7 linked regions of the Oryctolagus cuniculus genome follow. The main gene of each other region encodes a partner of the protein of the gene in region 6 in a complex. Links are inferred from orthologs where the notes say so. Each region holds a gene or a part of one and is shown on either strand. Other genes may lie near its edges. The genes, in order: MIS18A, KNSTRN, TCERG1, CDC25C, SPAG5, PLK1 and MIS18BP1.

The links.
Region 1: the proteins of PLK1 (region 6) and MIS18A are in contact, whole or in part, in a crystal structure (PDB 8S30), measured with the Homo sapiens proteins. The link is inferred for Oryctolagus cuniculus from reciprocal best matches to the Homo sapiens genes PLK1 and MIS18A. Residues at the interface, in NP_005021.2 of Homo sapiens: Lys413, Trp414, Val415, Asp416, Asp419, Leu490, Leu491, Arg516, Asn533, Phe534, Phe535, His538, Lys540; in NP_061817.1 of Homo sapiens: Ser50, Met51, Trp52, Ser53, Ser54, Met55.
Region 2: PLK1 (region 6) and KNSTRN share a complex: the UniProt entries of both Homo sapiens proteins name them as parts of the astrin (SPAG5)-kinastrin (SKAP) complex. The link is inferred for Oryctolagus cuniculus from reciprocal best matches to the Homo sapiens genes PLK1 and KNSTRN.
Region 3: the proteins of PLK1 (region 6) and TCERG1 are in contact, whole or in part, in a crystal structure (PDB 3Q1I), measured with the Homo sapiens proteins. The link is inferred for Oryctolagus cuniculus from reciprocal best matches to the Homo sapiens genes PLK1 and TCERG1. Residues at the interface, in NP_005021.2 of Homo sapiens: Lys413, Trp414, Val415, Asp416, Tyr485, His489, Leu490, Leu491, Arg516, Phe534, Phe535, His538, Lys540; in NP_006697.2 of Homo sapiens: Pro101, Pro102, Pro103, Met104, Ser105, Ser106, Met107.
Region 4: the proteins of PLK1 (region 6) and CDC25C are in contact, whole or in part, in a crystal structure (PDB 3BZI), measured with the Homo sapiens proteins. The link is inferred for Oryctolagus cuniculus from reciprocal best matches to the Homo sapiens genes PLK1 and CDC25C. Residues at the interface, in NP_005021.2 of Homo sapiens: Lys413, Trp414, Val415, Asp416, Tyr417, Tyr485, Glu488, His489, Leu490, Leu491, Arg516, Phe534, His538, Lys540; in NP_001274511.1 of Homo sapiens: Leu126, Leu127, Cys128, Ser129, Thr130, Pro131, Asn132.
Region 5: PLK1 (region 6) and SPAG5 share a complex: the UniProt entries of both Homo sapiens proteins name them as parts of the astrin (SPAG5)-kinastrin (SKAP) complex. The link is inferred for Oryctolagus cuniculus from reciprocal best matches to the Homo sapiens genes PLK1 and SPAG5.
Region 7: the proteins of PLK1 (region 6) and MIS18BP1 are in contact, whole or in part, in a crystal structure (PDB 8S31), measured with the Homo sapiens proteins. The link is inferred for Oryctolagus cuniculus from reciprocal best matches to the Homo sapiens genes PLK1 and MIS18BP1. Residues at the interface, in NP_005021.2 of Homo sapiens: Lys413, Trp414, Val415, Asp416, Tyr417, Asp419, Tyr485, Ser487, Glu488, His489, Leu490, Leu491, Arg516, Phe534, His538, Lys540; in NP_060823.3 of Homo sapiens: Asn73, Ile74, Phe75, Gln76, Ser77, Thr78, Met79, Leu80.

The regions. Positions count from the first base shown.
Region 1 is NC_091435.1:12,609,061-12,612,560, reverse strand, and holds part of MIS18A (protein Mis18-alpha), read right to left. Parts: intron 2,418-3,500; coding exon 2,295-2,417; intron 1-2,294. UniProt on the Homo sapiens protein: Required for recruitment of CENPA to centromeres and normal chromosome segregation during mitosis.
Region 2 is NC_091443.1:63,572,886-63,576,385, forward strand, and holds part of KNSTRN (small kinetochore-associated protein), read left to right. Parts: intron 1-704; coding exon 705-810; intron 811-1,036; coding exon 1,037-1,130; intron 1,131-1,707; coding exon of another isoform or gene 1,708-1,781; exon of another isoform or gene 1,782-1,843; intron 1,844-3,042; exon of another isoform or gene 3,043-3,148; intron 3,149-3,294; coding exon 3,295-3,350; intron 3,351-3,500. UniProt on the Homo sapiens protein: Essential component of the mitotic spindle required for faithful chromosome segregation and progression into anaphase.
Region 3 is NC_091437.1:33,947,069-33,951,095, forward strand, and holds the start of TCERG1 (transcription elongation regulator 1), read left to right. Parts: upstream 1-1,227; 5' UTR 1,228-1,306; coding exon 1,307-1,365; intron 1,366-1,961; exon of another isoform or gene 1,962-2,094; intron 2,095-3,739; exon of another isoform or gene 3,740-3,891; intron 3,892-4,027. UniProt on the Homo sapiens protein: Transcription factor that binds RNA polymerase II and inhibits the elongation of transcripts from target promoters. Regulates transcription elongation in a TATA box-dependent manner.
Region 4 is NC_091437.1:26,133,040-26,137,328, forward strand, and holds the start of CDC25C (M-phase inducer phosphatase 3), read right to left. Parts: upstream 2,801-4,289; 5' UTR 2,574-2,800; intron 1-2,573. UniProt on the Homo sapiens protein: Functions as a dosage-dependent inducer in mitotic control. Tyrosine protein phosphatase required for progression of the cell cycle. When phosphorylated, highly effective in activating G2 cells into prophase.
Region 5 is NC_091448.1:44,093,542-44,097,041, forward strand, and holds part of SPAG5 (sperm-associated antigen 5), read right to left. Parts: intron 2,364-3,500; coding exon 2,289-2,363; intron 1,351-2,288; coding exon 1,258-1,350; intron 1,174-1,257; coding exon 1,039-1,173; intron 836-1,038; coding exon 716-835; intron 630-715; coding exon 537-629; intron 437-536; coding exon 323-436; intron 1-322. UniProt on the Homo sapiens protein: Essential component of the mitotic spindle required for normal chromosome segregation and progression into anaphase. Required for chromosome alignment, normal timing of sister chromatid segregation, and maintenance of spindle pole architecture.
Region 6 is NC_091450.1:15,668,720-15,672,219, forward strand, and holds part of PLK1 (serine/threonine-protein kinase PLK1), read right to left. Parts: intron 3,173-3,500; coding exon 2,953-3,172; intron 1-2,952. UniProt on the Homo sapiens protein: Serine/threonine-protein kinase that performs several important functions throughout M phase of the cell cycle, including the regulation of centrosome maturation and spindle assembly, the removal of cohesins from chromosome arms, the inactivation of anaphase-promoting complex/cyclosome (APC/C) inhibitors, and the regulation of mitotic exit and cytokinesis.
Region 7 is NC_091443.1:30,696,404-30,699,903, forward strand, and holds part of MIS18BP1 (mis18-binding protein 1), read left to right. Parts: intron 1-560; coding exon 561-641; intron 642-1,263; coding exon 1,264-1,748; intron 1,749-3,500. UniProt on the Homo sapiens protein: Required for recruitment of CENPA to centromeres and normal chromosome segregation during mitosis.

The sequences.
Region 1 (3,500 bases), on a different chromosome or scaffold from region 6:
CATCCCATATGGGCACCAGTTCGAGTCCTGGCTGCTCTACTTCCAATCCAGCTCTTTGCTATGGCCTGGGAATGCAGTAGAAGATGGCCCAAGTCCCTGCACCCACATGGGAGACCCTGAGGAGGCTCCTGGATCCTGATCAGCTCAGCTCCACTGTGGTCATTTGGGGAGGAAACCAGTAGATGGAAGACCTCTCTCTCTCTCTGGCTCTGGCTCTACCTCTCTCTCTCTCTCTCTCTGACTTTCAAATAAATAAAATAAATCTTAAAGTAAAATATAATAATAAAATAAAATAAACCCAGGGACTTCAATGTGGAACACAGCTGCCTTAACCAGTAGGATAAACACCTGCTCCTAAATGAGACTTTAAGTAATAAATTGTGGTGGTCAATACTTGATTAACCAAATGTCAGCAACTGTAACAGTTATTCTCCAACTTACACTGTGTTTGCCTCTCATTGTTACAAGATGCGATGGTTTAGGAAAGTAGGAAGTAGCAGAAGAATCAGCTGGCAATGGAGGGAAACCAGCTCTGGGCTGGCAACCAGCTACATCTAAACAGTAAGGACGGAGATGCCAGCATCTCTCAAAGAAAACTCGAGGGGCCAGGGCTGTGGCGCCAGCTCCCGGCATCCCACAGCGGAGTGCTGGCGGGAGTCCCCGCAGCTCTGTCTCTGCTCCAGCTTTCTGCCAATATGCCTGGCAAGGCAGAGGAAAATAGCGTGGTAGGCAAACTGCAGAAGGCAACCGACATCCTACTTAGAAAACCAAAGATGCGGTGGGAAAATGACATGGCACCGAGCAACTGATAAAACTGTAAATAAATGGCACAGAGGGCAGCCCTGGCATTACAATTCCACCCCAAGGGGCCAGTGCTGTGGCATAACCGGTTAAGCTACCACCTACAAATCCAGCATCCCACTTGGGTGCTGGTGCTAGTCCCTAACGTTCCACTTGCGATCCAGCTCTCTCTAATGCACCTGGAAAAGCAGCAGAAGATGGCCAAGTCCTTAGGCTCCTGCATCCATGTGGGAGACCCAGATGGGGCTCCTGGCTCCTGGCTTTGGCCTTGTCCTGCCCTGGCCCTTGCAGCCATTCGGGCAGAGAACCAGCAGATGGAATATCTCTCTCTCCTCACTCTCTCCCTCTGTAGCTTTGCTTCTCTCTGTGGCTTTGCCTTTCAAATAAATAAATCTAAAAAATACACACACACACAAACTTATTTTTTTAAAAAAAATTCTGCCCAAGAAGTAGCCTGTCTCCTAAAATCAACTGTTCAGGAAAAACAGCCTTGACAACCATGATCTCCTGCAGTAAAACCTCCCACGTATTTTCTTCTGTAACACAATATCGCTTTTTAGAAAAATTACTCTCATTTTATTTGAAAGGCAGAGAAAGACAGGAACCTTCCATCCACTGTTCACTCCCCAAATGCCTGCAACACACAGGGCTGGCCCAGGCCGAAGCCAGGAGCTTGGAAGTCAGTCTGTGTCTCCCACATGGGTAATAGGGACCCACCCAAGTACCTGAGCCAGCATCTACTGCCTCCCGGGTTTACATCAGCAAGAAGCTGCATCAGAATTAAAGCAGGCCCTGTCCTATGGGTTGGGGACATCCCAAGCAGCAACTTAACCACTGAGACATAGCCCCAGAAAATACTTAAAAAGAATCCTTCTCAAGTTCATTCCATTTTTAAAAACAAATGAACACAGGCCAGCGCCGCGGCTCACTAGGCTAATCCTCCGCCTTGCAGCGCCGGCACAAAACCGGGTTCTAGTCCCGGTCGGGGCGCCGGATTCTGTCCCGGTTGCTCCTCTTCCAGGCCAGCTCTCTGCTGTGGCCAGGGAGTGCAGTGGAGGATGGCCCAAGTACTTGGGCCCTGCACCCCATGGGAGACCAGGAGAAGCACCTGGCTCCTGCCATCGGATCAGCGCGGTGCGCCGGCCGCGGCGGCCATTGGAGGGTGAACCAACGGCAAAGGAAGACCTTTCTCTCTGTCTCTCTCTCACTGTCCACTCTGTCAAAAAACAAACAAACAAAAAAGAACATATTTTTACTCCAAAAAAAAGCCACAATTTAGGAGTGCTGATTTTTCCAATATCAAAAAATTAGAGCAAAGCAAAGAGAAAAACAGAGAGACAGAGAGAGAAATTAACTGGCTTTAATGTCAGAAAGTACTACCTGGAAATGTCGTTTAAGCGTGGTTTAGCTCTGACGTCTTCATAGCAATTTCTCTGCAAACTTAACTTTCTGAGAGGTCAGTTACCCAGCGGTCACTTAAATATCAAACTTACCTTTCAATGGCTTCAACACTGAGGCAAAACAAGTCCCTCTTGTAATCAAGGCTCTTGGGGGTGCATCTGTATATGTAGCCGAGGTTGAGGGAGCAGCCGACGCAGTACAGGGTCTCGAGGACGCTGCGTAAAGACATAGCACCGCTTTAGGAAGCAAAGCAGCAACTTGCTACAGAACACCCACTGCTGGCACCCACAAACGCTTCAACACTCAGGTTTCCAGGGTTTGTCATTCTGACCATGTTTAGTTACATGTATTCATATAAGGAAGGAAAAAGATGAGAGTAAGACATTTATAATAGAAATGCAAGGACAGCCACACTGCCATCCACATCTGACGGCAGGAACATGCACACGGCAACAAGAGGAGGAGACCATCAAGTGCATGTGTTACGGCGCAAACTCTGCGGCCAGGGCTGTGCCCCAGCAGGTTAAGCTGTCGCTTGAGATGTCAGCATCCCATATGAGGCAGGTTCAAGTCCCAGCTGCTCCACTTCCAATCCAGCTCCCTGCTAACATGCTTGTGAAAGTGGCAGAAAATGGTCCAAATGCTTGGGCTCCTGCTACTCACATGGGAGACCCGGATGGAGTTCCAGGTCCTGGCTTCAGCCTGAATTAGCCGTGGCTGCTGTGGCCATTGGGGAGTGAACCAGCGTATGGAAGCTCTCTCTCCCTCTTTCCGTAATGCTATCTTTCAATAAATAAATCTTAAGAAAAATAAAGAATGTAAACTCTTTGATTATAAAGAAAATTGGGAAATAAGACAAAAAGATTCTATGCGTCCTTTTAATGCCATTGTCCAAGGAGCCCAACAACGGCAGGGAGAGGCAACTCCTGTGTAATGACGCAGAGAATAACTAATCCTTACTACTGGCCTCTGCCGTCACGGCACGAAAACAGCTTACAGACACTGCAGAACTCAATCACCTGGGTTCACAGAGAGGCATCCAGCCCAGGGCCTCTGCCTGCCCCCGCATTGGCAGAAAGCTAACACAGCCCAGTTTAGAAAAAGCCTCTAAAGTTAAATGACAGCCTGAAGAAAGCCCACCAATGCACCGTAAGTGAGTTTAGTCTGGCAGGGACACAAACCATCCCTGTGAGTAGCAAAGCAAGCCCCAAAGGCTGAGGGGCCATAACTCGATCTGCCGACCCTGAACCAGCTTCCAGCTCCCTCGTTAAGGGGTTTTTAAAAAGTCTCGGATGTGT
Region 2 (3,500 bases), on a different chromosome or scaffold from region 6:
TTTGTCACTGACCTGTGTTCCTGAACAGTGAAACATGATATTACATGCCTGAGGAATAGTTTCTTTTGATAAATAATTGACAAATATGGAGGGGGAAGGGAGACTGAGAATTTCAAAAAGAAGTTTTGAATATTGATGATGGTAATGGCTACTTATGAAATATTCATTGTGGACCAGTAGGCAGGTTCTGGATCATTCATGTTATCTCCCTTATTTTTTAAAGATTTATTTATTTGATAGTCAGAGTTACACAGAAGGAGAAGCAGAGAGAGAAAGAGAGGTCTTCCATCCGCTGGTTCACTCCCCAAATGACCACAACGGCAGGAGCTGGGCCGATCCGAAGCCAGGAGCTTCTTCCAGGTCTCCCACATGGGTGCAGGGGCCCAAGGACTTGGGCCGTCTTCCACTGCTTTCCCAGGCCATAGCAGAGAGCTGGATTGGAAGTGGAGCAGCCCAGACTCAAAAACATCACCCATATGGGATGCCGGCACTGCAGGTGGCAGTTTTACCCACTATGCCACAGCGCCAGTCCCTCTTATAATAATATGAACTGCGAATATTATCCTATTTTAGAAATGGGGAAACAGAGCCTTAGGGAGGTTGGGCAGCTCACTGTAGATCATCCACTATGATGTGGGGAACCCTGTTTGTGTAACTCCATAGCGTACATTCAGTCCCCCTCCATGTAAATACACCTGTTGCAGTTATAAACCACTGGGTAAGCAGAAATCAGAGGAAGAGCTCAAAGACAAGAACCAGCTCTTAGAGGCCGTCAACAAGCAGTTGCACCAGAAGTTGACAGAAACTCAGGTGAGAAGCCCACCACACCTCTGTCACTAGCTGCCACTGGGCACTGCGTGTGCGGTCTTGAGGGATGGCGCTCTGGGGAGGAGCAGGCTTGCAGTGCCTGACTGCCTGACCGCACAGAGAGAAGCAGCCAGGCTCGTGCTGGCGCTGTCCAGGAGCAAGGGGGAGGAAGGCTGTCTACTCGTGGAGTCTGGGAGGGTTCCCGACTGACTGTGCGCCACCACCACAGGGAGAGCTGAAGGACCTGACCCAGAAGGTAGAGCTTCTAGAGAAGTTTCAGGACAACTGTTTGGCAATTTTGGAGAGCAAGGGCCTTAACCCAGGTAAGAGAACACACACAGCTGCCTTCAAAGAGAACAGCACAGGTCCACCTTCCTGAGCTGACTAGCAGTGTGGCATCAGCTGGTCCAGGCAGGGCAAAGGTTGCATGACAAAGCACTAAAGTGCTTTGAGAGCTTCTGTTTGTTTCCATACAGTGTTCATTTGGCCTGCCCGACAGAATTTCAAATGACTGAAGACAGAAACATCTTTCTTTCTCTTCTTTCTTTTCTTTATTTGAAAGGCAGAGTTACGGGGGTTGGCGGGGGGGGGGGGGGGGGCGGGTTGGAGAGTCAGAGAGATAAGGTCTTCCATCTGCCAGTTCATTCCCCAAATGGCCACAATGGCTAGAGCTGACCATGAAGAAGCCAGGAGTTTCTTCCAGGTCTCCCACGTGGGTGCAGGGGCCCAAGGACTTGGGTCTTCTTCTACTACTGTCTCAGGCACATCATCAAGAAGCTGGATTGGAAGTGGACCAGCCAGGATTGAACCTGCACCCATATGGAATAGGTGCTGTGCCAAGTGCTGGCCCCTATCTCTTTCTTATCTAAACTCTTTATGCCATTCATTTGGTGCCAACAGGTTTAAAGTTGCAAACAGACCAGAAATATTTTGCTCCTTTCATGGGAGATAACAGCATGCTGGTGACTCCTTGATGGCAAGAGGTAAAGGAGAATACTTTTGCAAGGGGTCCTGAACCTAGCTAGTCACAGAATCCAGCAGATTCTGTGGTTGACATGGGACTCAAGTTCTGACCCTGTCCCTGGACAGCAGAGTTTAGCAAAGAAGAGACCGGAAAAAGGAGTTGCCCAAAGAGTGCAAGAGGAGCCACAGAATGGCCAGAAAAGGGCTGAGGCCTCGTGGAATTGAAGAATGCCAAGTCTGAGGCGAATGTTGAGCCCAACAGTTAAGATGCCTGCTGTAGGCCGGCGCCGCGGCTCACTAGGCTAATCCTCCGCCTAGCGGCGCCGGCACACCGGGTTCTAGTCCCGGTCGGGGAGCCGGATTCTGTCCCGGTTGCCCCTCTTCCAGGCCAGCCCTCTGCTGTGGCCAGGGAGTGCAGTGGAGGATGGCCCAGGTGCTTGGGCCCTGCACCCCATGGGAGACCAGGAAAAGCACCTGGATCCTGGCTCCTGCCATCGGATCAGCGCGGTGCGCCGGCCGCAGCGCGCCGGCCGCGGCGGCCATTGGAGGGTGAACCAACGGCAAAAGGAAGACCTTTCTCTCTGTCTCTCTCTCTCTCACTGTCCACTCTGCCTGTCAAAAAAAAAAAAAAAAAAAAAAAAAAAAAAAAAAAAAGAAAAAAAAGATGCCTGCTGTGGCCCAGGCTTCTGACTCCAGCTTCCTGCTAATGCAGACCCTGGGAAACAACAGTGATGGCTCATGTAGTTGGGTTCCTGTCACCTCATGGGAGACATGGAATGATTAGACCAATGATGGGAGCTCTGTCTGTCTCACTCTTTCTGCTTCTCAAATAAATGTATTTTTTTAATTTATAATAAAAAATGCTGACTGTGATTAACCTGTGGGTTACAGGTTTAGGATATTCTTTGCAGTAACTGTAAACATTTTGATGATTTAAGTTAACTGTGTGCACACACTGTTAACGAAAAACAACAATTTTTTAAGGCTTGAAAGGCTTTTAAAAACAGTTTTGTAGGGTAAGGGTTTAGCCCAGCAGTTAAGACACCTGTATCCCACATCGGAATGCCCAGGTTTGCTTAAGTAATTGGGTTCTTGCCAGTCACATGGGAGACCTGGATTGCTCCGGCCCAGCCCAGCCCATCTCTAGCCATCGCGGGCATTTCTGGAGCTCTGTCTGTGTGTTTCTCTGTCTCATTGCAAATAAATAGATCATAATATTTTTTAAAGGTAGTTTTTATACTGTAAACAAAAAACTACATTTTCTTTGTACAGATTTTCAGCTGGGATAAGGAGAGTAGAGTGATTTTTTTGGCATACTGAAATCTAGAGACACGGGGGAAGTGCAGCAGCTGTGAATGGCGTGGGTGACCCTACCAGGGTGAGAACGCGGGAGAGAACGTCTAGGACTGGACACTTAATTTCCCTCATGAATAAAAGCCCTTCTGTCCCTGGTGGGGCCTCTGCTTTCTTTTGTTTAAAGTAAGTGTGCTAAATGAGGCTGACTGTCATACCCATTGGTTTTAGGCGGTGAGACCCTGGTGCCACAGCAGACCCCCGCCACGGATCACACAGACTCTATGGTGAGGGTTGGGTGTGAATGGGTCAGGCCGAGGGATTCTGGGCCTCTGGGAGTCTCAAAGTCTCCCCCATGTGCACAGCAATCCTCAGAAGTAATCTTTGATTGTCCCCGATAGGAGAGAACGACCAGACATGTACTCAATATAGCATAT
Region 3 (4,027 bases), on a different chromosome or scaffold from region 6:
CTCACTTCTTGTTTTGTTGTGTGTTTTTTTTAAACATTCTTAGAACTGTATCTTGAAGCTACATTTAATCTGTTAAAAACTGAAAAATAAAAAGGAAATGTAACTAAAAAAATTAAAAATTCATTAAAAATTTTTTTTATTTGAAGGGGAAAGAGGGAGAGACAGACAGAGACATCTTCCATTCTCTGGTTCACTCCCAAAATGGCCACAGGTCAAAGCCAGGCACTCAGAAATCCATCTGGGTCTCCCACGTGGTGGGGGGAGGGCATTGGACCATCATCCTCTGCTTTCCAGAAAACTGGATGGGAAATAGAACAGCCTGGACTTCAACAGGCACTCTAACATGGGATGCTGGCGCTGCAGGTGGCAGCTTAACCTGCTGTGTCACAACGCTGGTCCCATGGTGGTGGTGGTTTTATTTTTTTAATTGTATGGAAAGTACTGGTATACACTGTTAAGTCTGAGTAAAATTTATTAATGCTTTGAGCTCTTTATTAATAGGTTTGCTTTCATCTTGTCTTTGCAACTCCAGAGCCTCAGCCGTCTTTTCCCCTTTAATCGAAGAATAAAAGAAATATTTAGAGTTCTTTTTGGGTAGCAGGGTGTGCCAATTTCAGATAACTGCATTTTGAGATTGAAGGAGGACGCTAAGGCTGTGTACTGCTAAGAGGCTGGCTTCTCCAATTTACTTTTTCAATAAAGCAACTCAGAACACCCATCAGATGCAACTAATTAGTACAATTTTAGGAGGTCTTCTTGTAATCACCAGATATTATTTCATAAACTGGATACACAGCCGAGTGCTGACTTAAGACTCCAATAAGTCAAATAGCGAAAACTCCTTCCGCCTCAACTCTATGATTGGTTTAGGCGCGATCCAGGTCTTTTTTGATTGGCTCACCCCGTGGAAATGCTTTCGGCCTGAGCTACTAGTGGCCAATATGGCTCCACAATTGGGTCTCCTGGAAGCCGGCAGACACGTGGCTACTTCACGCTGGGCGAAACGTGGGAGGACCTAGTTTCGCTTACCGCGAGAGGGCGCCGGTGGTTCCTCTTTGCTAAAGTCTCATTTCCCATAAAGCCTCCGAGCGACCAATCCTCTGGCTGTCTCCATACCGCTTTCAAAGTCGGCGGGTCCTTTGTCCAATAGTAAAGCAGATACCGCCTCCACCTGGAGGATGGATAGAAAGCTTCACCAATCATCTCATAGACTTCCGCTATCTCCGCCTCTCTCGCACGGGATTGACGATCCTTCCGGCCAATAGGTGGCGTCGGGTCGGCGGGTGGATGAACGCGGCCCTCTGTAATGGCGGAGCGTGGCGGGGACGGGGGGGACGGTGAGCGATTCAACCCGGGGGAGCTGAGGTAAGGGGCGCTGCCCTCTCGCACATCTCGGCGCGCTGGACTCCCAGTGGCTAGGCCTGCTCGTGGAGATCCGGAGCGGACGGTGGGCAGCAAGGACGGGGCGGGTTGGGGCCAGAACCGCATGGGGTTAGAGAAGGGGGAAGGGAAGGTGGCTTGAATGAGAGCCGGGCCGGGGCCGTGCCGCGCGGCCTTCTGCGCGGTCTCGGGGTGCTCCCTGCGGCTTCCGCGGGGCCCAGTTGTCCGTCGCGGCCTGCAGGCCGGGCCGGGCGCTCCCGGCTTGGAGCCCCACCTCAGCCGCGTGCCGCCTGGGCCTCTGCCGCCCTCCGCCTGCCTTCCCGGCTCGGCTCGGCCGCGGCCCGCTTCTCCCCATCGACGTCCCTAGGCGGTGCGGTTAACTCCCAGGGGCCTCTCCCGTCTCTGGCTCAGCCTTCTCCACGCCCTCCGGGCCGTCCACGTTTGCTGTTTGATCTCGTCCCCCACCCCCACCCACTTGCCTTTCTTAACTTCCTGTGGCTTGTCTCCCTCGGTCTCTCTCTATCCCTCCGTATCCCGGAGCTGTGAATAACAAAAGCGGCAGCGGGGGGTGAGGCGCTTACTTGGGGCTGTCTCTCCTCTCCTGCCCGAGCCCACCCGCTGCAGGAATTGGTGCTCCGGCTCTGTAGGCCCCAGCGCCGAGGGCCCTTCGGCCAAGTTGCTCGCGCGGCTTACGGATGAGGAAACCGAGCCTCGTAGGGGTTTGAGTGCGGGGTTAAGACCGCTTGGGTGGAGCAGGTTAAGCCGCGGCAGGCAGGCTATGGACGTGCAATTTCGGGTAATTCTGTTCTTCTCCTCCACCCCCCCCCCCCCCCACCCGTGCTCTAAAAAAGGAGCGCAGTGACCTTCCTTCCTCGGGAATTCAGTGCCTGCGGAGTTTGTCGTTAGAGTTTGATAAGAAAAATGTGACCAGGATAAAAAACAAGCAACAAGCCGGTTTTTGAGGGGATGGGAAAGAGGTCCTGTGCTTGATGTATATCTAGTGTACTTTCTCCCCACCCCCCCACCCCCGCCCCGATGGGAGAAATGTCATTTCAGATGTTCAGCTGACATTCTGAATTGTGCCGTTGTCAGCGTTTAAAATTGAAAAACGCAGTGGAGATGATGACGAGTCTAATACTGTCCAGAGCTTATTGTTAGAGTTTTAGGAGAAGATAATGTCTTTCAGATTCTGCAATGTTAGGCACAGAAATTTCTACTTTGGCAGTACTTATTTCAGAGGTAGTTCTTAAGCCCATCAGCCCCATATGCACAGTGGTTAATGAGTGAACAAAGTGGGTAGTGGGTATCTTCCAGTGTTAATGGTGGAGCTTGTTCTTGATGCTGATCTCAGAAGATTACTGCTTGGCTAGTCTCAGATGGATTGATTAGGTAACATTGTTTTATGTTTCATGGAGTGTTTTCAGCTGTACAGTCATAGCCTTTTAGACTATTTGTAAACTAGATATTGCAAAACTGATTTAGGTAGGGCATTAGATTAGGTGTGCTGTTGCAGGTAGTTTAGCCTCTTGGGTTGGAAGTTGCAGAGCGTGTGGATAGACCTTTGTTTTAGCATTTATCATGATTTATGAGAAATTAGCTGTTCATGTGTTCTGTGCTGGCAGAAGTTTGGACTCAGTCTTTATAAAAATCTATCCTGGATGTATTTCGTGGCTGTGTCTATCACAGTGGCAGACAGAATAATCTATAGATAAATAAATGAAGACAGGAGACTTAGAGGTGGTACCCTTGCTGGCCTGTGTTCATGAGGCAGTTACAGACCTGGATGCTGGCAGTAGATCCTGAACCAAATCATGAGAGGCCTTTGCTCTCCCCTTTGTTTCCATTCTAATTGAGACTGATCCAGATTCTGAACTAAACCAACCACATGAAATGAAAAACCCAATGTGCAAGTTTGAAATGACTTATCCAAAGTCGATGGGTAGTGGCCAGGGTTTAGACTGAAACTTAGGTCTCCTTACTCAATTATTGTAATTTGCCTCCCATGTACATCTTGCCCCTCCAGTTAAAGTGTTTGCAGTCTAGTTTTCACCATTGAGATTGCCTATCTATATAGAGCACTCCTAGAAAAATGTTTGTATTTCCATGGTGTTCTTGTGAATTTTTGTTTGTTTGTTTCTAGTCTCATAGATAGTCTTTTGCTTCCCAAAAAGGTTTTAAAGCAGCAGGAAGTACAATAGATGGAAATTCAGAGATCCAAATGCCATCTGTCCCTTTATGGTTGAGGGCCATTAAAGTAACTTTCAAAGTCATGTTTATCTAACACATACAAGTTCCCATCCAGTGGTTCACAACTTGATTCATGTCTCCACTACTTGAGCCATTATCACTGCCTCCCAAGGTGTACACTAATAGGAAGCTGGAATGGGGAGCAGAACCTGGAACTGAACCTGGACCCAGGCACTCGGATTTGGAATGCGATGTTCCAGCTGCCAGCTTCATTGGTCCAGCAGAGGCCCACCCAGTAGAGTCATATTTACATGGATCCTTAGGGTATGTGTTTTCCTATTAATACTTAGGACGTGAAGTACTTGCAGTCTAGATTTTCTTGCCTGTAGAAATGAGAGTAAGAATACCCTGCTGTTAACTATTGACCAACTGTCTTAAGCAAATTGTTTTTCTGTGCTAT
Region 4 (4,289 bases), on a different chromosome or scaffold from region 6:
TGTGCAAATTGTTGAACCCTTTACTTAGTATAGAGTTGGTCTTCTGTGTATAAAGTTAACTGAAAATGGATCTTAGTGGAGAATTGGACTGGGAGTGAGAGAGGGAAGAGGAGGAGGGTGGCAGTGTGGGTATGGTGGGAAGAATCACTATCCTACAGTTGCACTTTTGAAATGCATGATGTTTGTATTTCTTCAATAAAAGGCTTATTGGGGAAAGAATAAAAAGATTGGATTCCAAGTAGTAGCCTAAAAGTGAAGAATAAAGGGGGGGGGGGCGCAGGAAGAAAAATAGTAGGACATCAGTAAAAAAAATGTTGAGAACAAAAGGTGGCAGAAAGACATTTAATTGTGGGCAGGAGTGTTGAGTGTTAGGCTGTGGTGGGGGGGAGGCAGTGAATTATTTTATACTTGAAGGATGTAGCCTTCCTTTGAAAAGAGGCCTGAGATGTCACTTGCAGGGATTTTCTTTTCTTAAGCATCACAATTTCTTTCAGTGTTTTGCAAATGAGCCAATGCCACCTTAACTTCTTTTACTCAACCATTTAACTTTAGTAAGCAAGGTTAATAATAAAAAGGGGAACAGCCTAGTGGTGAAAGGCAGGGCTTCAGAGCCTTGGACTGCTTCTTGAGACTACTTTTGCCTACCCATGAGCAGTCCGTTAACTTCTCCGGCTCTTTCATCTGTGAAATAAGGAGTTGTGTTTTTTTTTTTTTTCATTTGGTGATTGCACGCAAAAATGAGAATACATGTTTGAAGTACGTTGCATGGTATCTGGCACATCCTATGTGTGCAGTCACAGAAACCACCTCCCCTACACTTCATGGCCCTGCCTCTGCCCCTTCTCCTTTGCTAACGGGGATGTACACTGCAAGGCAAATGTGTCCACTGCCACTTTCTCGGCTGATACCTCGCTTTCCCTTTACTCTTCCTTTTCAGTTTGCAGATTCGGTTGCTTCTGCTTGTCTCCTTTCCTGGCTCAGCAAGCAAGATTCCCCATCACTGGCTCTGCTTTCTTGCTGATCAAAGCTTTTACCTGTCCCAGGTTTGAGTAGGGCTGAAAATATTTACGGAAAACATAGGTCTCTCGGGGAGCTTGCTGCCGAGTGTTAATAATGAACATGACCTGCATTACTATTAATTTCCAATCAATGTTAACAGAAATCTAGACAGCAGTGTTTGGCCTGGTAGCTAAGGAGTGCACCTCAGATACAAGGTACAGGGTTCAGTACTCACCTCTGGCTCCTGACTCTAGCTTCCTGCTAATTCAGACCATGGGAGGCACTGGAGATGCCTCACATAACTGGGTTCCTGCCACTCTTGTAGGAGAGCTGAGTGGAGTTCTGGTTTTTGACTTTTTGGTTCAGCCCTAACAATTGTAGTCATTTGGGAAGGAAACCAGGGATGGGAATACTTGCTCTCACTCTTGTTCTTCTCTCTCAAATAATTAAAAAATTAAAAAAAAAAAAAAAACACTAAAAGTAAAACACTGCCCTACAAAGAACTCATAATCCAAAGGTGTTATTTCAAACCTTTTTTTCCCATTTTTTTGCTTGTCTTTCTAAACCGTTTTTTAAATTTTTTAATTTACTTTTATTTGATTTGAAAGGCAGAGTGACAGAAAGAAAAATACCCTTCATCCAATGGTTCACTCCCCAAATGGCAGCAACTGCCGTTGTTTGGGCCAGGCTGAAGCCAGGACCCAGAAACTCCATCCGGGTCTCCTGCATGGGTGGCAGGAACCGAAGAACTTAAGCCATCACCTGCTGCTGCCCCAGGGTGGGCCTCCCGTACGGGGTGTGGGAGTCCCAGCTGGAGCTACCTACCTGCCCCTCTCTGCGCCATCCTTGATGTTGAGACTGAAATCTACCTAACAGCCAGAAACCACCTAACCAACCTATTAACGCATACATTCAGTTTCTTAAAAAAAAAAAAAAAAAAAAAAAAACTTTGCTGGGGTGGTGATAATGATGGAGACTTTAATAAAAGGTGGTTTCCTCGAGGAACATAGCGCAGCCAACATCTTCTCCCATCTGCCCGTTTCCACGCTCCCTGTCTTAAGGAAAGTGGTCCAGCTGTAACCACCGTGCTCCCCCGCTCCCCCCTCCCCCGCAAGCCACTGAACCGCCTATGATGTCATAATCACAATCCCATTACCTCATCCTGCTGAGGGGGGCATAGCGGGAGGGGAGGGAGTGAACGGCCCTGGGCCCTCCTTAGCTCTGCAAAGTGTGCTGGGTAAGGGCAAACTATAGAACCAAGCGGGAACGTCCCCGCAACCGTTCTAAGGGCTGGATTTATAAGGTTCGAGCCGATCCGGTATCTGGAAGAGCGGCTCCTGGGACTCGGAGCAGGCCCTAATCGGCGCTTGGACTACACTTCCCAGCAGCCTTCGCGCCCAGGACTGGTCCTTTGCTGGGGGAAGGGGGATTCCTCCAGAGAAGTAGCCGTGGAGGGCGGGGCAAGAGAGCAGGTGAGAGGCACCGTGGCTAATTCTATCACCGGACCGGACCGAGTGGGAGGCTGCAGTTGAGCCGCTGTGGGAATGGAGGGCAGGGATGATGGCTTTGTTTACCTTCGTCCGACATGGCCTCCCCCGCGGATTTGAAGATATGCCTCCAACTGGGCCCATCCATTTTCACCGATATTTTGGAGGGGGTGACTCGTTACTGAAGAAGCATCCCCTGTCCCTGAATCAAAGTGCCAGGCTCGTTTCCGACAGCGCTGTCGGAGGAAGACTTTAAGAGACAAGCGACGCTGGGTCTGGGCCTCCGCGGGTGGTTCCAGTGATTCCGCGAACCGGAATCATCCCCCCACGCTCCTTAGGGGCTAGTTGGTTCGCGCCGGCGCCTTTTAAGGGCACCGTGGGGCGAACGGAGCGCTCAGAGCTGCTCCGGCCGCGGCCCTGGGAACTGGAGGAGCCGCGGTAGGTGGCGGAGGGCAGGTGGCGCTGGGGCCTCGGGGCGGGCACCTCGACCGTCCCTCCCTCCTTCCCTCTTTCCCCTCCCCCAGCCCGGCCGCCCGCGCGGCCCGGCCTCGCAGGCCGCCTCCGCGGGGAGAGCACGGGACCCGGTGGGGGAGGGGGTGGCGGAGTGCTAAGTCCCAGACCCTCCCCATCCCCTGCGTTCTGAGTTCGCCTCCCGCGGCCAGATGATGGGCCTGGAGTGGGAAGAGGCGGGCGACAACCCCCCTGAGCGAGGCCTGGCGCCCCCCCCCAGGGGCCCCGGATGCCCCAAGCCCCACCCCGCGGGGACATGCAGGGCAACAGAGGGAGAGGTGGAAGATTGGGGTGGGGGGGGGCAAGCCTTTTGCTTCTTCATCGGTGGGGGGAGGGGTGCTCCCCACTTGTCACTCCTATCTCCACCACACCATATGGAGGAAGAGCAGTCAGGTTCCCCCACTTACCTGTTAGTGCACCTCCCTGTCTCCCTCGTGTTTTCCTTCTGTCTCCCCCAGAGGAGTGGGCTGAGACCTGGGCGAAGGTCTCCGGGGATTTGAGTCTCGCCTCCCCCCTGGCCTGACCTGGTCCTGGGCTGCCCAGGTTTTAGCACAGCCTCAGCATCCCTCAGGCTCGGGTGTCAGGGGTTCTGCCAACCAGTAGGCCATGGGCTGGGGGATTTGATCTTTGTTTTTGGGGAGCTGGTGGTGAGGAGGGAAAGCCTGGTCTGAGAGTTGGGCCCGGTTGCAGGGAGGGCGCAGCGGCCTGCTGCTCGGCGCAGGGCTGAGCCCTGTGCCAGTTGTTAAGCTGAGAAGTTTTAACTTGTTCAGTGAATGTTCAGGACTGTCCCTAGCCCCCAGATACACAAAATGGAAGGGGAAGGAAGGCGGCAGGCAGGAGAGGGCTTCTTGCACTTTTTTCAGTGCCTGCTTGAGAAAGAGGAGGCCCCTCGTGGAGCTGGTTTGCCTTCTTTTGTGTCCTGGTTTGATTCCTTATGGCTTCCGTTCTGTTCCCCCTCTCAGCCTGGCCTGTTTTAGGAGACTCAGGCCGAGAGTATCAGTTGCGTGCTGGTAGTTGCATTGTTCCAGTTACCGCTGTGTGTGGCCACATCCCAACAATTAAAATGCAGAAAAACACAAAATCACTCTCTTCACTTGATCCTAGCGAGGGCTGCAAGTTCGCTGTTTGTCCAAATGCCTCATGAAAAGCTTGAAAGAGTTTGCTTCACTCCCTGCGCCTCGTGGCTGGGCAGCCTGAGGCCTGGGGTCTCTGGGGTAAAAGCCTGCAATTAGGTTCCCTCTCTGGTTTATGTTTTAGGGCAGAGTTGAGAAACCAAGAGCAGAAGTGATAGAA
Region 5 (3,500 bases), on a different chromosome or scaffold from region 6:
CCAGGATCTAGACCAGCTTCTCTTTCTGGACAAGACGGGAAGTTATCTTGATCCCAGACAGCAACACTACAGAAAATAAGGCTCATCCTTAGGAAGACGTAGACAGGAGAAAAACTGCTGAAGCGAGGAAGGTGCTGAAGAGCAAAGCAAACAACTAGGCTCAAGGCCATCATCTCACAGCTAAAGGAGTTGGCTGGTCTCCAAACTCCCAGGGTGAAGAAGCAGACAGGTACAGAGTAAGAGGCTAATGATGTCACACAACAGAAAGGCCTTCGGCAAAGGAGGAAGGCAGTCCTAAGAAGTCTCCACTCCTGGTTTGTACCTGCTGCTTATCCTTAATTGCAGTATCACGCTCCTGGAGAGCCTGCCGGCTCTTGGCTGTGAGTTTCTCTGTGAGCTGTTGAGACCGACTCAGCAAAGCTGTCCATGTCGTGTACTACCAGAGGAAGCAGGCAAGTCAGTTGAACACACTTGAAGCAAGGCTCCTAACAGGGCTGCCTTATGAGTGAGTGGTTATGATAGCCCCAAATACTCACATCCAGTTGCATGGATAGCCAGTCCTGTTGCAAGGTAGAAGTCAGACTCACTGTTTGCTGGATCAGCCCTTCCTGCTCTTTCTGAAGCTCTACCTACAAGGGAAGGCTTGCGTACGAAGGGGCAGCAACATACAAGTGCACCAGCAGGAACCCCAGGAAAGAAAATGCCTTTCAGTTACCAGTTGGGTCTGGGTCTGCTTCAGGAGGTCTCTGAATTCCTTCATGGAGGTCAAGTTCTGTTCTAGCTGGCTGATGCGTTGGCTGGAATGTGCACAGAAAGCCTCCAGCACTGCTTCTGCCTGTTTTAGGAAAGAGGTTGAAAGGACATAATGGGCAGCAGAGGGAAACAGCACAAAAAGCCATGGCCATCCAGCACCCCATTAGTTCAGTCTATTCCCCAGGGCAGGCACTTTGTAGGCCACTCGTCTGTGTCTCCAGCGCATTCCTACAGAAATGTGAGGCAGAGCCCTCCCAGTCCGGGGACAGGCACCTGGCACCTTACCGCATCCTTGCCTCTGAGGGCCATTTCCTCTCTGTGCCTTGCCTCTTCTTTTTCTGCACTGAGGCTCTGGAGCTTTGCCTTCAGTTTCTTCAACATATCAAAACAGCAGGAGACCAGTGTTTCTGCATGTCGAGACTACAAAGTAAGAATCAGGTGCTTTGTCTGGCTCCTTTTCTTGGCTTTCAATCCCACCAACGCCTCTACCTCCATGCTGCTTACCTCCTGACTCACAGTGAGTTTATCTTCCTCTAAGTGCAGCAGGGACAGGTGAAGCAGGGATGTCAGCTCTTTAGAAACTAGCATCCATGATTGCTGTAGAGGGGAAAATGGTTAGGCTACAGCAAGCACAGTCACTAAGAAGGAAGCAGGGCAAACGGGGGAGGAAAGGCACTGGCCCCAATTCCAAGTTTCCAATAAGGAGACATCATTCACCAAGGTTTGGAAGCCTCTCTTCACCCCCACAGCTGTGTATCACCATCTATTAACCAACCAGGATTCCCCACCCTTTTTTTCTTTTAATTTTTATTTATTTGAGAGGCAGGCAGATAGATCAATAGAGCGCTCCAATCCACTGGTTCACTCCCCAAATGCCTACAATGGCCAGAATTGGGCTGGGGTTGGGGCTAGGGCCAGGAACCAGGGATGCTATCCAGATCTCCCATGTCAACGGCAGGAATCTAATTACTCAAGCTACACCACTGCTTCCCAGGGTCTGTAATAGCAGGAAATTACAGTTAGGATCCACAGGCAGGTACCAAACCCAGGCATTCTAACATGGGACATGGATATCTTGACCATGCATCTTAACTGCTAGGCCAAATGCCCATCCCATATTCTCCATTTTTTTTTTTTTTTTTTTAAGTTTTATTTATTTGAAAGGCAAAGTGACAGGGTTGGGGGCACAGAGTGCAGAGAGACAGATCTTCCATCTACTGGTTCAGTCCCCAAATGCCTGCAAAACCTGGGGCTAGGCTAGGCCAAAGCCAGGAACTCAGAAGCCCAGAACTCCATCTAGGTCTCCCATGGATGGCAGGAACCCAAGTACCTGGGCCATTACTTCCTGCTTTTCAAGGGCATTAGCAGGAAGCTGGATGGGAAGCAGAGATGGTGTTCAATCCCAGGCACTCTAATACAGGACACTGGCATCCCAAGAAGCAGCTTAACCAGCTATGCCATAGTCCATGCTCCAGATCTCCATTTTTTATCTTTATGGGAGACCCAGAAATGCTACAAGGTCAATCAACACTTACCATGACATTCCTGGCCTGCTGCAAGGCCTGTCCAATCTCTTGGCTCTCTTGAAGATATTGAGGTTCCCTAGTTATCTAGTAGAGAAACACAGTTGTTCCTTTTGAGATAGCAGCATATACCACAGGAACCTCAGTCCCCTCCCAACCCAGTGAGTTACAGGAGCCTTTCCTGTTAAAAGGAGGTATGAGTTTCATGGCTAGATGAAGTCAAGTCAGAAAGACAAATCAAGACACAGGTAAAAAAAAAAATTTCTTCTTACATACGTAAAAAACTAGTACGTGTTTATTGCAACATTTTGGAAAATATAAACATGAATAAAAACGGAAAGAGAAATCATTAATAATTTCAATACCTAGAGCAGTGATTTTTTAAAAAAATATTTATTTATTTGATTTCAAAGAGTTACACAGAGAAAGAGAGAGAGAGAGAGAAAGAGAATCTTTCATCTGCTGGTTCACTCCCCAAATGGCCACAAAGGCCAGGGCTGGGCTAGGCTGAAGCCAAGACAGGTGTTTCTTCCAAATCACCCATGTAAGTGCAGGGATCCAAACATTTGGACCATCTTCCATTGCTTTCCCAGGTACATCAGCAAGGGCCTGGATGGGAAGTGGAGCATCTGGGTCTCAAACCAGTGCCCACATGGGATGCGAGCATTGCAGGCAGCAGCTTTACCTGCTATGCCAACACTGGTCCCAGAGCAGTGATTCTTTTTTTTTTTTTTTTTTTTTTTTGACAGGCAGAGTGGACAGTGAGAGAGAGAGACAGAGAGAGAAAGGTCTTCCTTTTTGCCGTTGGTTCACCCTCCAATGGCTGCCGCTGCAGCCGGCGCACCGCGCTGATCCTGGCAGGAGCCAGGAGCCAGGTGCTTTTCCTGGTCTCCCATGGGGTGCAGGGCCCAAGCACCTGGGCCATCCTCCACTGCACTCCCTGGCCATAGCAGAGAGCTGGCCTGGAAGAGGGGCAACCGGGACAGAATCCGGCGCCCCAACCGGGACTCGAACCCGGTGTGCCGGCGCCGCAAGGTGGAGGATTAGCCTATTGAGCCACGGCGCCGGCTCAGAGCAGTGATTCTTAACCAATAATACAGCAGCCACCCCCAATGATTACGATGATTTAAAAATAGGGGCAGGTGTTGCAGCATAGTGATTAAAGCCAGTATTTGCGATGCCAGCATCCCATTTAGGTGTCAGTTTGTGTCCTGGTTGCTCTAC
Region 6 (3,500 bases):
ACGAACACGTGGGGAGTCACGGCACACTTCTCTCTGCCTTTGGGTAAAGTTGAAAACATCCATGAAGTTTTTTGTTTTTAAAAAAAGCTGTAAGTTCAAAATTAAACTGAAAAGTAATCCTTAAAAAACCCCAGTATTATATTAATATAGCCCAAAGAACAAAATAAACAATCCTTGAGTTCATTACTGACATAAATAAGCAAACAAGGAGAGGGCCAGCTCTTCCTTAGAGGGCCAACTAGTGAAACGCAGGAGCAGGGAAAAGAAAGAGCACGAGAACACAGTGAGCACTGCTGCAGGCAGGCCCCGCCGTGGGCGCTAAACTCGGCACGGGACACTGAGCCTAGCAGTCATACATCGGTTAGGACACCTGCGTGTCACCTGACTCACCACTTCCTGCTAATGCAGACCCTCCGAGGCACTGGCAATGGCTCAAGTAACTGGGTCCCTGCCACTGACATGGGAGGCCTGGACCGAGCTCCTGGCTCCAGCCTTAGCTCAGACCCAGCTGTTGCAGGCATTTGGGCAACAAACCAGTGGATGAGAGCTTTCTCTCTCTCAGATAAAAATAAGAGAAACCCATCAGATGCCACGGTAACCAAGTGATCACAGTTAATAAACACCACCACTAACAAGAGAAAAAAAAAATCAATGTGTACCCCTGATAGACTACATGGAGCCGGCGCCGCGGCTCACTAGGCTAATCCTCCACCTGTGGTGCTGGCACCCCAGGTTCTAGTCCCGGCTGGGGTGCTGGATTCTGTCCTGGTTGCTCCTCTTCCTGTCCAGCTCTCTGCTGTGGCCCGGGAGTACAGTGGAGGATGGCCCAGGTCCTTGGGCCCTGCACCCGCATGGGAGACCAGGAGGAAGCACCTGGCTCCTGGCTTTGGATCGGTGCAGCGCACCGGCCGTAGTGGCCATTTGGGGGGTGAACCAATGGAAGGAAGACCTTTCTCTCTAACTCTGCCTGTCCAAAAAAAAAAAAAAAAACCCACGAAACAAACCAGAGTCCACGGAGAAGGGCGCATCACTTCTGCTGCACTCCCCCAAAGTCTAGAACCTCAGTGTGAGCGCGAGGAACTCCAAATCCACAGAAAGAGCGGAAGTGGAAAACCTGACGAGGGCCCAAGACAGCCTGGAGTGTGAAACTACCGGGGCCGACGCTGAGGGGGAGCAGTGAAGCTGCCGCCTGCTCCACCTCCTATCCAGCTCTCTGCTATAGCCTGGGAAGGTGGTGGAAGATGGCCTGAGCCCTTGGGCCCCTGCACCCGCGTGGGAGACCCGGGAAGCGGGGAGCTCCTGGCTTTGCATCGGTACAGCTCCGGCCATTGTGGCCAACTGGAGAGTGAAGCAGCAGATGGAAGACCTCTCTCTCTCTCTCTCTCTCTCTGCCTCTCCTTCTCTCTCTCTGCATAACTCTAACTTTCAAGTAAAACAAATAAATCTTAAAAAAAAATTTACAAAGTGAAAAGTAGAATTCAAAAAAGAAAAAGAAAAGATACTGCCCTGTGTTTTAGTCCTTCTCTGTGGTTACACAACACGCTGATGCGCGGGAAGCCAAGGGAAGGGTATATGGGAACTCTCTCTGCAATTGCTATTATCTTTTAGAATTTCTGTATAAGCCTAAAGTTATTCTACAATAAAATTCTAGAAAGTAATCCCTAAATATTGAAAACTAACAAACAAATGAACTTAAGTTGTCTATCAAACTGAGATACACCTAGAGGAAGTATTTCAAGCTACTTTAAAAAAAAAAAACAAAACAACATATCTTTGGAGCCAGCACTGTGGCGTGGCGGGTTAAGCTGCAGCCTGCAGTGCCGACATCCCATATGGGCGCTGGTTCTAGTCCCAGCTGCTCCACTTCCGATCCAGCTCCCTGATATTGCACCTGGGAAAGCAGTGGAAGATGGCCTAAGTCCTCAGGCCCCAGTACCCACATGGGAGACTCAGATGAACCTCCTGGCTCCTGGCTTCGGCCTGGCCCAACCCTGGCCATGGCAGCCATCTGGGGAGTGAACAAGCTGATGGAAGATCTCTCTCTCCTCCTGTAACTCTTTCAAATAAAATAAATAAGTCTATATTTTAAAAAGAAGATTGCTCTAAAACTATATTGTATCCATGTTAAATTTCTTGAGCTTGATAACTGTTATGCACTGTGGTTATATAAAATAATCTTTGTTTTTAGGAAATACACACTGAAGTATTAAGGGTAAGAATGGAATACTTACATACACAACTTACTTTTAAACAATTCTGTGTGCATGCAATGCAAATGAATGATGTCTTCAAAAAGTTAATGGAAAAACCTGTATTATGAAAAACTACAGGTTCAACTTCGCACCAAAATAAACTTCTAATTCCATTTTTTTCCCATTAACTTTTTGAAGTACCCTCATGTGCAGTATACGTGGGAGGTAGAGGAAGAAGATAAAAGTAAATGTAAAAAAAAAATGGCAACTGGTGGATCTAGGGAACAGGGTAGACGGAAGAGGAGCTTCCTGTTTGTTCTTCCACCTTTTTTTAACCTTGAAATAATAGCAAAATAAAATGCTACGAAAAAGGGAATCGCAAACATTATCATACACCCAGATGTCCCCCTTTAAAGTAAGTATTTCCTGACTCTGTCCTATAGAAGAGACCCAGAGGAAATGACAACCTAGGTAATGGCACGTGACGTTAGATTTTCCTAAGAAAATCGAAGCCGCATACTGAAGTTATGGGTACAATGGCAAGATGTCTGAGGTTAACTTTAAGAATATATCAGAGAAACAGGGAAGGCTCCGCAGGGCAGGTGTGACTGCTCAGATGGTGGGGACCTGGAGGCTCCCACAGCCTGCTCAGGGTGTGTATTTGAAACTGTTCCTGTCTCCTTCAATGAAGCATGAAGAAGTGATATTAGGGGCCTCGGTTCTCTCTGGGGTTCTGTGTCTGACCCTCCCCTTGCTTTACCTTTATTAAGGACGGTGAGAGGCTTCCGGCTGCTGGGGTCCAGGCTGCTGGGAGCGATTGAGAACCTGGGTGGAATGGTGAGGCAAGTGATGGGCAGCCGGGCAGGGATGTAGCCGGAAGTGAAGAACTCGTCACTGAGCAGCTCGTTAATGGTCGGGCGGGCAGAGGGGTCTGTCTGCAGCATCTTCTGGATGAGGGACGCAGCCACAGGGTTGATGTGCTGGAGCAGAGACAGAGAAAGCCCTGAGCCGGGCGTGGCCGTGGACTGGGACAGCAGTGCTGTCATAGCGGGACCACAGCCCACAGGGCAGCTCCGGGTCTCAAGTAAGCCATGGTTCCACAACTAAGAACATCGCCAAGCTCCCCCTTATCGACCTCACGGAGCTGACGAGTGAGAAGGATCACGTTTCTTCCCTCTTGGAACTCCAGATTAAGCTGTTTTCCCCCAGACTTGCCCTTGCACACCTAAAGTTGCTCGTCTCCACTGCAGCGCCTTGAGGACACAGGCTTTGAGGTCTTGCACCTGTTTAAACACCGTTTTGCCCTCA
Region 7 (3,500 bases), on a different chromosome or scaffold from region 6:
TACTAAAATAGAGAATGAGATAAAAGGATGAGAAAGTAATAAAGGTAAAAATTTTTATTACTCTCATGTTGCAAAAGCACATTATAGTGGTCTGATCATTACTATATCTAAGTATCTTTATTTCATGATATTCAAATGATAGTTTTGGGAACAGCATCATGGCATAGTGGGTTAAGCTGCCACCTGCAACACTGGTACCCCACGTGGGCACCACCAGTTCAAGTCCCAGCTGCTGTACTTCTGACCCAGCTCCCTGCTAGTCTGCCTGGGAAAGCGGCAGATGGCCTTCCAGGCCTTCAGGAGACCTGGAAGAAGCTTCTGGTTCCTAGTTTCTACCTGGCCTAGCTGTAGCTGTTGAGGCCATTTGGGGAGTGAACCAGTGGATGGAAGATTGATCTCTCTCTCTCTCTCTTTTTCTTTCTGCCTCTGTAACTCTGCCTTTCAAATAAATAATAAATCTTCAAAAGAAAAAGACTATATCTGCTAAAAAAGAATAAATAAAATGACAGGTTTTTCTTCTCTGTGCCTAATTCAATTTTTGAAAAAATCTCAACCTCTAGAGTCATCAGAATTCCCTCTGGTAAAGCAAAAGATTCAACACCAGGAGGTAAAGAAAGCAGTGCAGCACAATTTAACTTACGGTAAACTTTTGATTTTGTTTTGCTTTTAAGTTTGTTACTTGAATGTGTTGTTAGATGTTCTAGGTAATTATATTCCCTGGGTAGATATTAAGCATTGACTGTGGACAAAAGCTTCGACTGTAAAGTTTAGAGGCACTCAGAGAAAGACTGGGCAGGAGGGTGAAGTGTTATCTGAAGATTTTTTTTTATATTGAACAGGTTTTTTTTTTAAGATTTTTATTTATTTATTTGAGAAGTAGAGTTACAGGCAGTGAGAGGGAGAGACAGAAAGGTCTTCCTTCCATTGGTTCACTCCCCAGATGGCCACAATGGCTGGAGCTGCGCCAGTCTGAAGCCAGGAGTTAGGTGCTTCTTTCTGGTCTCCCATGCGGGTGCAGGGGCCCAAGCACTTGGGCCATCCCCTACTGCTTTCCCTGGCTATAGCAGAGAGCTGGAGTGGAAGAGGGGCAGCTGGGACTAGAACCAGTGCCCCATATGGGATGCCAGCACCTCAGGTGGAAGATTAACTTACTGCGCCACGGCACTGCCCCAATATATTGAACAGTTTTAATTGACTCCTTTTTTGTTCTTTTATTGCATATGGTCGTTCTATAAATTTTGTTTTGTTTTGCATGTTTTGCAGAATTTCCAGTTCTGAACCAAGAACAAGAAAATATTTCAACTACAAAAGTCTCAAACCAGGCATTATTCAGAGCTCAGTTGACTGAACAAATTCTTCACCCCAGGGAGAATACGATTGCAACCACTCAATCCAAAAAGGACACTTTTGTTATAGAGAACAGTGAGTCAGCCTGTGAAAAATTCCAAAATACTAATACTGAGACTCTTAGTACAAATTGTGTTCCTACTAAGAATGGCAGTCAATTAATGGTTACTGATAGTGAGATGACAACAGAAGGAACTTCACAAGAAGAAATTAAGGACAAAAATGAAAAAACAGTGCCCAGAGAGATTGATCTTATAGATTCCATGAAAGATACATGTAAAATTATATTGGCAAGTCCAAGACTTCATGTAACAATACCTCGAAGGTCAAAAAGAAATGTTTCCAAGCTTTCTCCTCCAAATGTGTTTGAAGCAGTTACGGATGAAGTTAAAAAAACTCAGGTGGGAAAACTTTTAATGTAGATATTTTTCTCCATGTTATTGAAGAGCTTAAGCTCTTATATTCTGACATTGTTGATGGTAACTTCATGTTTTGTTCTTTACTGTACCAGCATTGTGGCCCAGTGAAAATAACTGGGCTAGAAGTAAGAAGATCCAGGTGTTAAAATTTTTTTTGTTGTATTAGGAACTGTGGAGTTTCTAACAATTATGTCTTGTGTGGCATGAACATTGAATTCATTCCTGATTTTTATTGTTTTTCTTTTTGCCCTGATCCTTGGGGCACTTACTATTTTTTTTTAAGATTTATTTATTTATTTGAAAGGCACAATATCAGAGGGAGAGATAGATATCTTCCATCTGCTGGTTTACTCTCCATATGACCTGCAGCAGCCAGGGCTTGACTGGGGCCCAAGCCAGGAGCTGGGAACTCCGTTCTGCCCCCCACTCACCATTTGAGTAACAGGGGCCTATGCACTTGGGCCATCATCTGTTGTCTTCCTAGGTACCTTAATAGGAAGCAGCATCAGAAGCAGAGTAGCTGAGACTTGAACTGGCGTTCCACTATAGGGTTTTATCATCACAAGCAGCAGCTTAACCTATTGCACCGCAACACTGGTCCTTGGGGTACTTGGTATTAATAGAACAATTGAAATAGAAACAAATTATATCATCTGAAGATTTGAAAATTTTCCAAGTGTAAAGTAATACAGGATGCTCAGTAAGATTTTAGAGCTTAGTTACATTAGGATAAATTCTCTGAAGAAGTAGAATGGAAATATAAATAAGCTAATAAGTTCAAAGAGAAAGGTAAAATTTCCAATTATTACAAGTTTGTCCATTGATTTTTAAATGAATAATGATGGATAGCATTGAGATTTCATCTAAATTTGAAATAGTGATATAACAACTATAGTTTTGTGTCAATATATTTGCTAGAAATTATAATGTTTGCAAATACATAAACTTGTGATGAAAAATTTTAGACATTGACTTAAAAATGGTTGAACAAGGCCGGAGCCGCGGCTCACTAGGCTAATCCTCCGCCTTGCGGCGCCGGCACACCAGGTTCTAGTCCCGGTCGGGGCGCCGGATTCTGTCCCCGTTGCCCCTCTTCCAGGCCAGCTCTCTGCTGTGGCCAGGGAGTGCAGTGGAGGATGGCCCAAGTGCTTGGGCCCTGCACCCCATGGGAGACCAGGATAAGTACCTGGCTCCTGCCATCGGATCAGCGCAGTGCGCCGGCCGCAGCACGCCAGCCGCGGCACACCGGCCGCGGCGGCCATTGGAGGGTGAACCAACTGCAAAGGAAGACCTTTCTCTCTGTCTCTCTCTCATTGTCCACTCTGCCTGTCCAAAAAAAAAAAAAAAAAAAAAGGTTGAACAAGAAAGTTTGAGGACAGCTACTCTAAGGGACACCACAGTAGTTGCTATAAGAATTCTAAGCTTCTCAAGCAGGACTGTTATCCCTATGTACTCATAGTTCTATAAAGCCCCTAATTCTGACTCATTCTCTTACTCATCTGCAATTCTCCAGATATTGCATTGGTACTTTCTTGAGCTATGTAAATGTTATGACTGCTATTACCTGTCTTCTCTCAACATTTCTTAACTTTGCTCTAACTAAAATATGACTTCCACAAACAGCTGATTAAAGAGGTGGCTCTTTTTCTTCCATACCCAACATTCTGTTTGACCTGGAGATGATATAAGGTATGTTTGTCTTGCTCCTCATTGCTCCATGGGCCATTCTTTTTT